Notamacropus eugenii: one gene and its partner. The protein of the gene in region 2 interacts with the protein of the main gene of each other region in a pairwise test. Links are inferred from orthologs where the notes say so. Each region holds a gene or a part of one and is shown on either strand. Other genes may lie near its edges.

Evidence for each region. The genes of interacting proteins can lie anywhere in the genome.
Region 1: the proteins of UBASH3B (region 2) and DOC2A interact in binary tests that used the Homo sapiens proteins (3 or more experiments, as listed by UniProt). The link is inferred for Notamacropus eugenii from reciprocal best matches to the Homo sapiens genes UBASH3B and DOC2A.

Annotation. Positions count from the first base shown.
Region 1 is NC_092872.1:46,862,988-46,871,031, reverse strand, and holds the start of DOC2A (double C2-like domain-containing protein alpha), read right to left. Parts: upstream 3,070-8,044; 5' UTR 2,911-3,069; intron 1,787-2,910; 5' UTR 1,773-1,786; coding exon 1,481-1,772; intron 1-1,480. UniProt on the Homo sapiens protein: Calcium sensor which most probably regulates fusion of vesicles with membranes. Binds calcium and phospholipids. May be involved in calcium dependent neurotransmitter release through the interaction with UNC13A.
Region 2 is NC_092876.1:274,979,775-274,986,979, forward strand, and holds the start of UBASH3B (ubiquitin-associated and SH3 domain-containing protein B), read right to left. Parts: upstream 3,092-7,205; 5' UTR 2,749-3,091; coding exon 2,618-2,748; intron 1-2,617. UniProt on the Homo sapiens protein: Interferes with CBL-mediated down-regulation and degradation of receptor-type tyrosine kinases. Promotes accumulation of activated target receptors, such as T-cell receptors and EGFR, on the cell surface.

The sequences.
Region 1 (8,044 bases), on a different chromosome or scaffold from region 2:
CTTTATCAGAGATATTTGCTGTAAAAATTTTTCCCCAGTTTTCTACTTTCCTTTCAATGTTGGTTGCATTGGTTTTGTTTGTGCTGTTTCCTGAATTATTACAATAGTCCACTAGTTTTGTCCTCCTAGTTCCCATCTCCTCCTTCTTTAATCCTATGCCAAACCAAGGCAGAGATTACCATCCTAAAGCCAGATCTGACTATATTATTCTCCAGTATAAAAATTTTCAATGGCTACTTATACCCTCTAGCAGAAAATAAAATTCATCAGTCTAGTATTTAAAGCCCTCCACAACCTTCCCAAATATGTACTTTTACTCCTCCTCATGTGCTCAACATTCTGGCCCTGATCTACTAGCTAATCCCTGAACTCAATATTCCATCTCCAGTCTCTACCTTGGAACAGACTCTTCCTCATGCCTGGAATTAACTCCCTTGTCTGTACCTCTTAAAATCCCTTGTTTCTTTGTAAGGTTCCACTCAGGTGCTACCTTCTGTGAGCAGTCTTCCCTGTTCACCTGAGTTGTTAGTACTTGATCTATCTTACCATTACCTTCTATTATGCTTAACTGTGTATGCTACATGCCACTCCACCCCACCCCTAAAAATATAAGGTCTTTGAAGGCAAGGACTCATTTTGTCTTTATATTCCCATCCATTGCCAGAAATAATGCCTGGTAAGTACTTAGTACTTAAAGACATTGGGGCACTTAATAAATGCTTGTCAAGGTAAAACTGAGAGGCCTGGATGTGTGTGTGTGTGTGTGTGTGTATGTGTATGTGTATGAGAGAGAGACACAGAGAGAGAGAGACACACACAGAGAGACATAGAAGGAAGAGTGTGTGTATCTGTATGAGAGGGAGAAATGAGTATCTGTGCATGTGAGTATATGATGATATGAGTGTGGCTCTGAGTAGACCCCATGTGTGCACGAATTTGAGTGCCTGTGTGTGTGTGAGTAGAAGTATAGATGACTATAGAAGAGTGGAAGTGTGTAAAATAATTTCTGGGTATTTCTGTGTACCTGTGTGAGGTCTGAGGATGAGTGACATTCTATGTGTCAGGAAATATATATGTATGTAACTGTGTATATGACTATAAGTGACTGCATGTATGTGTGTGTGTGTGTGCGTGTAAGAGACAGACAGACAGACACAGAGAAAGAGACAGAGAGAGAGACTTGCTTTTGCTTCTACGTCCTCAGCTGTGACTAGGGCTTGAGGTCTGTGTAGGTGGGAGGGTGTCTCAGCACAAATACTTAATATTGAGGCTGACAGATGTAATGTCACTCTGATGACAGTAGCTAGGCTGCAGCATCAGGGCCTCTCTCTCCCCAAAGGACCCTGGTGTCCCTGGCTTCCCCTACCTTCTCTTTTAGAGCCCTTTATCTCCCAAGCCTCCCCTTCCCAGTGCTCCTAGGGGTCTCCCCATGATCAGCTATCCTGAGACCCCAGCACCTTCCCTGTCTCCCCAGACTCACTGGTATCATCTGAGTCATAGCTGTCCACTTCAGCCCCCTCCTCAGAGGCCCCAGCCCCTCGAATACCAGCCCCTGGGGACAGAGTCAGGGGCATTAGGCTGGGTGTAGCTGCAGCCCCAGTCCCTGGGGAGAGCTGGGCTTGGGGGCCTGCTCCACTCCCTCCACCCTCAGGTCCTAGCCGAGGAAAGTAGTCAGAGATCTGCCGGATGGGTCGAATGGGGCCAGGGCACACATTGATGGCCATGTGCTCCTGGATGTTGATGGTCATTCGGTCACCCCTCCGGCCCCTCATTCACACGTCCCCCACTGGAAAAGGAGGAAAAGGAAAATTAGCTATGGATTCCTCTCCTTTAAAAACCTAAATGACCTTTCCTCTTCACCCTTCTCCTCTAGGCTCCTCCCCCAGCCTTCTGGGCATCATCCTCCTGGAGGATAGTAAGGGTCCTGCCTTGATGGGTCTGGCCTCCAAAGAATGGGAAATGAGACCAGATCCCCCAGAAGAGCCTCTGGAATCTCAGGGCCTATTAGGATGTGGGGGGAGAACAGGGGGAGGTCATCTCTCTTGGGAGGTGCTTGGGGCAAGAGCAGAGAAGAAAGTAACAGAGCCAGATCATTCCTATAAGGGACCATACAGGGCCCTAAGTGGGATCCCCGTGAGGGCTTAGGTGGACTGGGACCTACATCCTCATAAACAGCCAGACCCACAGGGCTTCTCCCCTGTGGAAGTGAGTTAATTGCCTGTGTCTGCCAGGCCTTCATTACTTAAATTCTTGGGCCTGAAATGGAATGGTTAGGGGAGGGATGACAGACAGCATATGGGCAAATAGGGAGGGTGACTGGCTGGACCCTGGCCTCTGGCCTCAGTTTCCTTTCTAACCACAGCTCATCCCTCTCTGCCCCTCATCTGGCCCTGAGGGGCCGCAGGCCTGACTCCAATCTGGTTTCATCCCTGACTCTGTCCTCTTCCCCCCTCCAGGAAATTTCCCTGGACAGAGGTTCTGACTTTCTTGCCCTTGGTCTTGACCCTTCTCCTGAACTCCCTCTGTCCTCCTCGTCCTCCCCGAGGCTCTGTCTCCCCACCAGGCTCAGCCTGAGTTCCACTCTCCCCCCTCCCCCTCTCCTGTCTGTCTCTTGGGCTGTCTGTCCTCCCTAGACTCCATTTATCCTCTGGGCTGTCTGCTCCTCCGGGACCTCTGTGCGTCCCCATTCGGTTTGTTCATCCCTCCTTCCCCCTCAACCCCTATTCCTCAGGGCCTGCTGGGGAAGCCCCTTGCTCTCTTCTCACCTGGCGCTGGGCTTCCCGACTGCCGACTGCCGATAGATTGCAGTAAATGGGAGAGAGATAAACACAGATTCCCCAGACACACAACCTTTCCCCACCTCCTCCCCCAACATACACACCCAGCCCAGCCCAGCCCAGCCCCTTCCACCTGTCTCTGTGGTCCAACAGGTGCTTGAGAACCAGGGGGACAGCAGAAAGGGAATCTCAGAAGGTGCAGGGAGAGGTAGCAGCAGGGAACGCAGAGATAGGAGGAGATTCCAGAGGTGGAGAGAGAGGAGTCCGGCTGTGCGTGCGTGTGTGTGTGTGTGCGTGTGTGTGTGTGTGTGTGTGTGTGTGTGTGTATGAGAGAGAGAGAGAGAGAGAGAGAGAGAGAGAGAGAGAGAGATCCTGCTGGGGAGGAGGGGGTGAGGGAGGTGGAGGCAGAGATGAAGCAAGGGAGAAGGAGAGAGAGAGATGGATGAAGAGAGAAGGACAGAGGGACAGACAAAGAAGTGCAGAAGCAGGCTTGGGTGGGAGGTAAACACATGCACACTCCTGCACATAACAGAGCCCCCCAACACACACACATGCTCACACAGATTCCATTCACACATGCAGTCCTCCCTCACATGCAGTCACAGACATGTTCCCATTTACCACACCCACACACACCACACATGATCAGATACACACTCACTGACACACACGTGTCTCAAACACATGTATTCACATACACATTCCTGTCTGTACCATGCAGAGACAGGGGATTCCACATCCATACAAACACACTCATTAATTCACATGTGATCACACATGTATCTACATGATCTCTTGGAACCCCCTACTTTCACCACACACCTCTATGCTCGCAGACAGATACACTTGGGAGCATTCACACATTTGTACGAATTAATATGCACACACAAGAACACGTTCATACACACACACATAGAGTTCTGGGTTTCCAGGATTTCCAGCACCAGGGACTGAGAAGCGCCTGGTGTTTCCCAGCTCCCTCCTCACAGAACCCGGGAGTTCCCTTTCTTCCCCCTAGATTACCCTTGGTTGCCCCCATTGCTGCTCCCCTCTGCGAACACCCAGGGGCTGTGGCCCCCTCCTCAGTACCACCGCCCCTGCCATCCTTAATCCTCCCAGTGCCTCCCTCTCGGGTCCCAGGTGACTGGGCCTGAGGTATGGCTGACTGGCTCTGCCCAATTCAGGGAAGCTCTAGGTCCTGGTTGCCATGGCAATGCTTTCCTCCTTCTCTCCACCCCAGCCCTCCTTCAACCTTCTTGCTCCCAGACTCCCCCTCCTCACACCAAAGAACAGATTCTGGGATCTGCTGAGGGGGAAGGGACTCGCTTCCCCCCACCCCTGATTGATTAGTCTTTCCCCACCTTGGTCTCTCCCTCCCTCCTCACCAGTCTCCTTTTTCTCCTCACTCTGCTTTTCAGTTCTGCCCCCCGCTTCACAGCCCCCACCCTAAATCATTCCCCCCATTGAAGGGGGCCTGCCTATCTTGATCTTATCTTCCGAGATGGAAGCAACCACCCCTGTCCCAGGCCCCAGATGGTGGCTCATCTCCCCCGGTCCCCCGCCCCATTTGTCCACTAGGTTTTCCTTCCCCATCAATTCATTGAGGGTTTCTGCTTTCCCCACCAGCCTGAGGGAGGGGGATGGGGACTGGAAGATCTCAGCTAATTTTAGGCTAATGAGGCAGCTGGTATCTGGCAGCCTCCAGAGGCGGGGGCGGGGGCCAAACCGTCGGTGCAAGGCTCAGGAGGGGGTGGCAGCTCTCAGCCTCTCCGATCAATCGCTACTCTCCTTTTACTGCTTGGGGCCCCCTGAACGGGATCCAGACACTTTCCCTTCCTCACTGGGTTGTCTGGCTACAGCCAGTGCTCTGTGGCGGTCTTTGAGAGCTGGGGAAAGATCTTGATATTCCTTAGGAAATTATCAGGCCTAGGGTCTAGATGTATTGGTGAGAGAAGCCGTGGGAACAGGAGTAGTGAAAGTGGTGGAGAGGCTCTGAGAGGGGGAGAGATGGGAAGTACTGTGTCAGAGAGGAGGGCTGGTGGGTGGTTGGGGTGACAGTAACTGCCCTGCGGGCCCAATGGGAGGGAACAGTAAGTTGCATGGGAAGTGAAAGGTAGACAATTTGCAGGCCAGGACTGGGGATTATATTTAATAGGAAAGGTCTCTATGTAGGTAGCAGGGTGCGTCTGGCAGGCTGGAAATACGCCTTCTAAACCTCATGTTGGATTTATACAAGGGTTTAGGAGACACAGGCTCTAAGGCTCCGTAATAATACTTAGACTCTATATTCAGAAGGCTTGACTTGTGGCTGGGGATGGGGTGAAGAGAAAGAAAAAGGAGGAAATATCTTTTGTCCCCAGTCCTGCCATCTGACTCAGCTCTTTCCTTCCTGTTTCCTGGTCTAGCAGATGATGGATGGTGACACTTCCCATCCCTCCTCCCAGCCTGGCCACAGCTGAGTCGTCCCATTGGTTCATGCACTTAAGGTTCTATAGGCTCACTCTTCAGAGTACTTAGTGTTGTAGTTATGTCTTTAAGTTCCTAAAGACCACGCTTGTATTCTGTTCATATTTTGTTTTCTCAGTGTTTTATACAGAGTGGGCACATGGTAAATATTGAGTAAAAAGCTGTTGAATATGGATGAACGAACCTATTATCTCAGTAGTGGAAACTTAGCTCTTTATTACTCAAAAGAGGAAGGTAGGAAGTAACCCCAGGTAATGAATCAGGGAAGACATTTCCAGCATTCAAATCATATCTTAAAATAGTAAAGAGCAGTAATCAGCAGCAGCTAAGTAGTACATTGGTTATATCTCTGTACTTGGAGTCATGAAGACCTGAGTTCAAATCTAACCTCAGACACTTACTAGCAGTGTGACTCCAGGCAAATTAACCTCTTCGCCTCAGTTACCCTATCTATAAAATGAAAGCAATAGTAGCAACTACTTCTTGGTTATGACAATCAAAAGAAATACATGTAGTGTTTTGCAAAGCTCCAAGTACTATGTAAGTTCTAGCCATTATCAGCAGAAGTTTTTGGTACTGGTTAAACAACAGAACAATAGATCACTGAAACAGATTAGATAAGGAAAGATGAGGAAAAATCAAACTCAGCAACTTGGTGTTTGAAAAGCTTGAGAACATCAAATAATTGAGAAACAACTCCTTATTCAATAAGAACTGGAAAAACTGGAAAGCTGTTTGGCAGAAATTAAATTTGGACCAACATCTTATACTTTGCACCACACTAAGTTTAAGCATCTTACACTATATATCACAATAACTTCAAAATGGATATATAGCATGAATATTGAAGGTCATACCATATAAAATAAAAGAGAGTGAGATCAGGTACTTTTCATAGTTATGGCTAGGGGGACAGTTTTAACTAAAGGATAGAGGAGATCTACAATAGATAAAAACAGATCATTTGAGTTACATAAAATTTTGAAAAGAAAATCATTGCTGTTAGGGAAAAGTTTTGTATAAGATATCGTTCATAAGTATCTGATATCCAAGATGTATAAGGAACTAACACAAATATATGACTACCTTTTCCTGGTGAATATATAAGTAAGTGGCCAAAAGATATAAACAAAGTGTTCTCAAACAAACTGCAAACTATTAACAGCAATATGAAAGTGTTCTAAATACAACTTTTTAAAATTAATTTGTTTGTTTTCAGTTTTCAATAGTCACTTCCATAAGTCATAAATTTTCTCCCCCTTCCTCCCTGAGATGGCTTGCAATCTTATATAGGTTCTACTCAGATATTCTTATAAAACACATTTTCACATTAGTCATGTTGCTTAGAAAAATTAAAATGATTGGGAGAAACCATGAGAAAAACCAAAACAAAACATAACACAAGAGAAAATTGCTTCATTTTGCATTCCGATTCCATAGTTCTAAATACATCTGTGACAGAAATGGCCATTTGTCCATCAAAGGAGACTTAGATGTTGAAATTCAAAAGAGAAATCAAATATGAACCCTTGGGTATGGGGATCTTGGAGAGAGGAAAGCTGAAGGATCAGCACATCTGGAGGCCCAGAATGGAGGTGATGGAAGAATGGGGTGGACAAATGCTTTGTAGAAAGGGTTAGATCATCAAGTGCCTTGAAAAAGACCTTTTCCTCCACACTATTTATGAGCCCTGAAGGGTGAGGAGCAACACAACTGAGAAGGGCACCTATAGATTTGAATATTCAAGGATCCAACCTTTTAGAGAAGGAAAAGGAGTTCCAGGGAAGTCCTCAGACTCTTGGAGAGGGAGAGCAGAAGCCATCAGAGAATTGCTATAAGACTGAATGCCTGAATGAGTCTCTCATGAAAGTGGGACTCACTAGAATCACCCCTCTAACAACTCCACGTCTATTCCTCTTCCTAAGGGAATCCAAACCACAAGATGGCACTATGAGTCTGGGAGGTATAAGGCCTAGGAAAAGGGGAGACCTACTGGTATGAGAGAATTATTTCAGTTGTTCATAGGTTAATGTGAGTTCTTTATGCACTATATTCTATCAGGGTGAAATAAAAGCTCTCGTATGTCTGACAGGTATTTCAACTTAAGCATGTCATGGGAACTTGGGACCCTATGGGTAAAAGACAACTAGAGGAATATTCTAGATAAATTCAGGCATTTCCCAGAAATTTGTGGAGGAAAAAAGAACCGTTAAAGAATTATGGGTTGTCACAGTGTGTGAGAGTTTTTTCTGGTAGACTTAGATTTTTGTAATAACACAAGAACTTCTTACCAAAAAAAAAAAAAAATCCCAATGGAGGATCTCAAGGCAAAATGCCTGCCACACTCAGAGAGAGAAATATGGAAGTCACTCACATATTGTAGCAGATCATGTTTGTGTATGTGTATGTGTTTGTGTATCATGTTCTGATTTGTTATACGATTTCTTTCATTTATCTTAGTCTGACTACATAGCATGACTATAGTGAAAATATACTCAATAGGAAAGTATATGTAGAATCTATACAGAATTGTATGCAGTCGTGGGGAGGGAGGGGGGGAGTGGGGGGTAGGTGGGGGGGATAAAATCACAATTGTATGGCAGTGATTGTTAAACATTACAAAATAAAAAAAAATTACTTGAAATAACAAAAAAAAAAAAAAGAATTATGGGTTGTTAGGGGAGATGTCCCCAAGATTAAACTTCTTACTCTTTGTGATTTGTATGTTTAAACATATCTGCAAGAGATTAGTGCACTGAGATCTGCATTGTATATACAAACAGCTCTCACTTTACATGGAG
Region 2 (7,205 bases):
TTAACCCAAGCTCAGGTGAAAGGCTAAGTGAAGTGACTTTTGCAAGAGTACAGCGTTAGAATGGGATTCAGGCCTTCTATTTCTCTGTCCTGGCCACCACCCTTTGGTGTTGTCTCATTGCTTCCCTGGCCTCTGAAACTCCCAGAACCCTACAGCAGGACTTGGTACAACTGAGAATATTTATAACCTCAAAAGGGGAAGAAAAGGAGGGAAGGGCTCCCAGTCCCTGCTTCTCTTAATAAGAAACCTATCCAAGCAATCAAAGTTCAAGTACACAACCTTCCTTTTTGTTAACAACAGTTTGGAAATTAACATGTGCGGTAAGTTGCCATCACCACTTAATCATTCTATTAAGTGGTTTTGCTTCTCTCTCTCTATTTTTTTTAATAAAATGGTACTGGGGTGAAGAAGTCTTTTTTGCTGAAAAGTAGCTGATATATCAAATAAAATATTAACTTTTATTAAAAAGGAACCTATTATAGTTGAGACTGTGAGCTCTGAAGTCATACACTACTGCCCTAGGAACTCCAACTGCACTCTTTATAGTGGTTACTTATCATGTGTTAGACTTATCCTTTCGGGGGATATTTTGTTGCTCATCCCTTGAGGTTGCCTTATATTTTATATCTCCATCTCCCAGAGACTCCAAACCTGTCTCCCTGCCTTGAACTTTTTCATTATAGTCCTCCCTCTTCAGACTACTTCTCTCTTTCTCCTCCTAAATGCTGTCTTAAGGATTAAGAAAGAATTTAATGCTTCGGTTGTCCTCTCTTCCTAGGTAGAAAAGCAGTCGTTGATCTCTCCTCACCATTACTTCACCCCTATAGCTCATCAAGTTAGGTAGAGGCTCACAGGAGTCACAGAGCCATCCCCCACTACTTGGGGAGTTTGACTACTTCCCCTACACACATTCTATTATCCCCACATCTGGGGTAGAGGGAGGTGAATAAAGCTGACCATAACATTAAGGTGATAAAACTCCAAATTAGACATTAGGTTCAGTAACATTTCTCTCCCATTTATATTTCTGCTACAACATGATGTCACGCCTGTCCTCAGCACTGGCCAGCACTTGCATTTTTGGAAGCCAAGATGTCAGAATTGTGCCTAGGTTTATGACGCTGTGTGGCAGGACTGTATTTCTCAATTTCCCCTGAGTCCCTGTTTCATCCAATACCAGTAGATACCATCCATCATACCCACTGCACACACAGATCCATCTCTCATGCCTTCATTGAGAAAGGAAAGTAAAATCCATCAATATGCCCACTATTTGTTCCTATAACCCAGAGTACTTCAATCCCAGACTGAGTCTGAAAGTTGCCCAAGTTAAACAAGAGGGAAATGGGAAAAAATGGGCCTGTCCTCTGAAGGCCACCCCCCTTCCCCCCCATTCCACCTCCAGCTCCTTTCAAATTCCCTGGATGATCTGAACAACCAAACTTTGCAAAGTGTAAGCAAGATGAGTCCAGAGGTGGGGAAAGGGAGACAATTATCTCACGGGAATGTCTCTGAAAAGGAAGGAAAGTGTGCTTATCAGCAACCTGGCTTTCCAGATAAAGTTTTCCCTAATCTCTCTTTTCTGCTGATGTCATTACAGAGCTAAGGTGCTGGGCAGTCTGGCTAAAATATAGCCAGGATAAAATGGCAGCAGACTCAATAAAACAGCGATGGTGTTTCTGACTTTTCTCCCTTGCAGGCCACCTCTACTTTGTGCCCACACAGACTTGACAAGGGCTTTCTCAGGCAGCTCTCCCCTGATCCTCCTTCTGGTCAGCCAGATCTTTCTGCCATCGAGATTCACCAATTTGTCCTTACTCCCACCACAGGCGTGGGTGAATGGATAAAAAGATAATGATGGAGAAGGGAAGCTTTCCACCCAGAAAGTCCCCTCCGATTTCACCCACCACCTCTGGAGGAGGAGGGAAATAGCATCCCTCAGGTCCCCAGGTGGAAAATCGTCTTATCCTAGCTACTCTATCAATGAATATGCAGCAACACCCACACTCCCGCTCCTCCTACTCCAAAGGGAAACCAACATCCGGAGTTGAGAAACCACTGCAGTGGGAGTGGGGTGGAGTGGGGGGGTGACGGCAGTGTCTCTATGCTCCGCAGTCCCCTCATCTCTCCCTAGCAGCCCCAGGATGGGGCGAGGGATCCAGTGGGATTTCATTCCCCGATCCTGTTAGCTCCTCCAGGCAGCCTGTGGCACTGGCTCTGCCACAGAGACCTCAGGGATGACCTAGGTCCCACCTGCTTACTGCCGCCTGCCGGGATGCGGACAAAAAAACCCTCGACCCCGAGAGAACCAAAGGGCACCGACACACAAACGCGAGCGCGCTCACACACTGGCGCACACGCGCGCCCCCCTCGCCCCGGGGGTCCCGGGGAAAGGGAATTAGGTCCTCCCCCATCCCATCTCCAGCACATCCTTTTCCACCCTGTCTCGCCAGCAGCGCAGCAGGTAATGGATCTGGGCGAGGGCCGGCGTCGGAGAAGTCGGAGCCAGAGGAGGCGGCGGCCGAGGAGAAAGGCAGAGGAGAGGGCAGGGGAGGATGCCGGGAGAGAAGGAAGGATGCAGGGCAGGGCAGGAGGGATGCAAATGCCTTTCACTCACGCTCGGGCTTTGGGGAATCCCATGGAGAGGAGGACCTCGAGGGCCGACCCATGCTTGATGGTGCCGGCGCGATGCTGCTGCCGGTTCCTCCGGGGGATGACTTTGCTGTAGAGCTCCTCTCGCGCAGCCATGCCGGGCGGGCTGGGGCTGCCGCCGCCGCCGAGCCGAGCCGAGCCGAGCCGAGCCGAGCCGGGAGCCACAGCGGGCTCAGCACGCAGCCATGGCCGGGAGGAGACGCCGCCGGAGCTGCGGCGCGGGCGGGCGGGCGGAGGGAAGGAGGCGGCTCGCCGGCGAGGGTCGGCCCGGCGGTTCAGACCGACTGACTCCGACGGCTTCCTGGTGGAGGCGGCCCGCGGAGGAGCGGCGGCTCGGTGCCCGATAAGACGCGACTGCAGGCGCCGGTGCCCGTGCGCCTCCAAGCCCCGCAGGCGCCCGCTGCCAGCAGCGCGGCCGTCCTCCGCCCCCTGCCTCCGCTCCTAGCAGTCCGGGAATTTGCAATGAGTAATTTTTGAATGGATCAAAAAGGGAAAAGGAGCTCGGGTGGGCCGGCCTTGCCTGCCCCGTGTCAGCGGCCCCGCCCCTCTCTTAAAGCGGCAGCTCCCGCGGCTTGTGGCTCGCGTCCCTTCAACACTAGAGAGGGGATCCGACCCGCAGGGGTCGCGTTGGGCATTTGCCCCGTGGCCTTCATTTGCTTTCAGATATGGTCGCAGTCCTGACCCCTGACACCCGACACGTTTCTCCCTGACACACGTGTCCACAATTAATGAATGCTTGATGAGGCCATTAACGTGAACTGCTGATTGTGAGGATTCAGAACCCCGGGCAGTGAGACCCAGAGAAAGAGGTCTGCGTTAGAAAGAACCTCCGTAAATGTCGAGTGCAGCTGCGGCCATTAGAAACAAAGTTGCCACTTGTCCTTTCTGCTCAGGATGGAGTAACAAACGACTTCTCCTTTCTTTGGCAACAACAATCATGTTGATACAATAGCAGGCCTTTAAGGTTTGCAAATTGCTTTATGTATATTATCTCATCTGATACTCAGAAGAACCCTGAGAAGTAAGAGCTCTTATCACCATTTTACTTATGAGGAGCCTGAGGGGTCCAGAGGTCAAGTGACTTGCCCAGGGTCACACAATTAGTAATCACCACCATCATCATCATCACTTATATATAGCGCCTACTCTATGCCAGACACTATGCTAAGCACTGTATAACTTACTTCATTTGATCCTCACAATATCCGTGGGAGGTAGGAGCTCTCCAATTTTACAGATGAGAAAACAGACAGACAGAAATCAAGTGACTTTCTCAGAATTACACATCTGGTTAGTGTGGAAGGCAGGATTTGAACACACATTTATCCAGTGCTTTAAAGTTTGCAAAACACCTTTCCTCTTAACAGCCCTGTGAGATAGGTAGTGAAAATATTATAATTCCCATTTTACAGATTAGGAGACTGAAGCTTTTTAAGGGGTTAAGTTCCTTCTTCATGATCACTCAGCTAGCAAATGCCAAGGCGGGATTCAAATTCAGGTCTCCCAACTTCAGGTCTCCCAATCTTTTCACTAGATGCTATCCTCTCCTACTACTCTTCCTAAAGTGGACTACTGCCTGCACTTGTTGATTTGTAGACAGGCAGATCTTGGCTCGAAATGAAGATAAACTTTCTAATAACCAGACTTGTTCATCAGTGGATAGAGCTGCCTCTTGAAATAGTGAGCTCCCAGTCACTTTAAAAATTAAAGCAGAGATTAGATGAGCTTTTTGGGGCAGGCTATCGAGAGGATTTCTGAAGTGAACAAAAAGCAGGTTGGGGTGGTCTTTTCTAAATGATGTTTTGATTACTTTTGTAGGGCAAATAGCCCCAGCATGCAAGTCAGGTTGTTGGCATAGCTTTGCCACTCTCTAACTTTGTACTCTTGGGCAACCCATTTCCCTTCTCATGGCCTCAGTTTCCTTTTTCTATAAAATGAGGGTATTGGATTGGTTGATCTCTAAGGCCTCATCTTATTCTAACATTCTTGGATTCCATAATTATATTTTCAGCACACTAGAAAGTCTTCTATTCTACCCTGAAAAACCTCCTCCACTCCCTCTTGTTGAATGAAACTTAAAATTTCTTTACCAGGGAACAAAGCTTTTCTTTTCACGATGAAAGAAGGGACTGAAAATGCAAGAAATTTTAAGAGTTGACTTAAATGCACACAAAGATATGTAAGACATATCAGATTCTTTCTGGAAAAAAGGAGAGAAGGAATCTGAGCTTCAGAGAGAAGGGAAGAGAGCAGAACACCACAGGAAATATCTCCCAAAGAGGAGAGACTATAGGCTGTTTCACAAACTAGCTATTTCACACTTTTGCCTAAGGGCAGAAAGATTTTTAGTTTAATATAGCTATTTAAACTCTGATTTTTTGGGTTTTGTCCCCAGAGATACTTTCCTCAGAATGCCTGGAGGTGACAATCGGCTATCAATGGTTGTGGCAAAGGAATGCCAGTTCTGGTGGGTTCTTTCCATCTGGAAAGGAGTGGAGTCTGCACTCCATGATAGATTGTCTGTCATTTGTCTGAGAACCAGCCAAAGTGAATTCAGAAGGGTTTATCACCTGGTGGTGTCAGGGTGATGAATTTTTCAGGCTTAGAAACTTCTTCAAGACCATCAACCAAATCACTAGAGGGGTTGCAATCTATGTAGGAAGAAAGAGCCTCCACTTGGATGAAGTCACCAATCCTTGAAGTGAATTCCAGGGAAAACTACATGGCTTGATTTTCTTAGTAGGGAATTGATTTTTCTAAATGGTATTTGAATGTGATGAGGATGAGTGAGTACAAAGCAAGTCTGAAAATCAATAAAAGAGATTCATCCTTGAGTCCAGTCACTGGGTAGGATATAAGGGACTCTTCCAAATAGTGTCTGGCAATTGGGAGGAATTGCCAAGTGATCTCTGACAAAGCTGAGACAAAGGCAGGCCTGGGGGCCCTAGAAAATCTGCCTAAGGTCTTAGGACCCTGTTAATGTTGGTTTGAGGAGGTCATCCATTCTTCCACAAAAAAGAGGCAATGGATCATAATGGATAGTTAGGCCTCAAAGCCCGGAAGACCTGGGTTCAAGTCCAGCCTCAGACACATCCTGGTGGTGTAAACCTGGGCAAGTCACTTAATGTCTTAGAGCTTTAGGCAACTTTGAAATTAAAAATTGCAGGGAAGTTGTTGATCTGCGTTGATAGATGAAAATTCCTGATCTAGGAATTCCATGTACCAATAAAACCAGATGTCCAGGCTCTATCCCATGTGACCCTACCCATTATAGATTCATAGACTCTCACATTTTGAAAGGACCTCCAAAACTTTGAGGGCTCACCCAGCCTCTACCAGAAATCTATTATTTGTCAAGGCAACCCCACTTCACTTTTGGATAGTTCTCATTAATAGACGGTTTATCTCTACAGGTATTCTAAATTCTTCTCCATATAACTTCTACCTATTTGCCCTACTTCTGTCCTTTGAGAACCAACAGAACAAAACCGCTTGGCCTCTCTTGGTCCTAGTTTCCCCCTCTTCTATGAAAAGATGATAAACAGTCTTTGCACCTTTTGGGAACAAAGGAGAATACATATCTTGAAGCAGCTAGGTGATGCAGTGGATAGAGCACCAGATCTAGAGTGAAGAAAACCTAAGTTTAAATCCAGCCTCAGCCTCCAACTAGCAGTGTGACCATGGGCAAGTCACTTAACTTCTGTCTGCCTCAGTTAGGTCAACTGTAAAATGTGGATCATAACAGAATTCATAGGGTTATTGTGAGATAAACAGAGATAATAATTGTAAAGCATTTAATGCCATTCTAGGCACATAGTAAGTAAGCACTATGTAAATGATAGCTAATATTATATTACTTTCTAATGCAAATCTGAATCTGATTGATCTTCAGACCTAGAAGGAACCTTAAAAGTCACCTAGTCTAGCTGCCTCATTTTATAGATTGGAAAACTGGGATCGAGAGAGAGGAAATGAATTGTTTCATAGTTTAAAAAAAAGTCACAAGACTTGGAGATAGGAGAGACCAGGGTTGGAATCTTACCCTTGACATTTACCAGTCAAGTGACCATGGGCAAATAACTTAATTTCTCTGAACCTCAGTGTCCTTGTCTCACAGATGGTGATAATGTTCCAAATGCCTTTAGGTTCACATGGTTGTTATGAGGACTGAGAGGTTGTCTGTTTAATGTGCATATATAGATCTACACATACATACACATATGTCTACATGTATACATACACACATGCATGTATATACATGTATGTGCTTGAATGCATATTTGTATCTGTCATGCATGTTTGTATATGTATATACATATGCATGTCTATATATGCACATATACCCATATATTCATATATAATAATAGATAGCATTTAATAGCACTCTACAAATATTATTTCATTTATCATCATAACAATCTGAGGAGGTAGATTTATCCTGGCTCCTGGGATTGTGCTCTTTTCAATGCCTCACAAATGGAAATTGCTCTTTTCAGGGATGCTCTAAAGAACTCCCAGTCTGGCTCCCTCACCCACCCCACCACCCAGCTTTT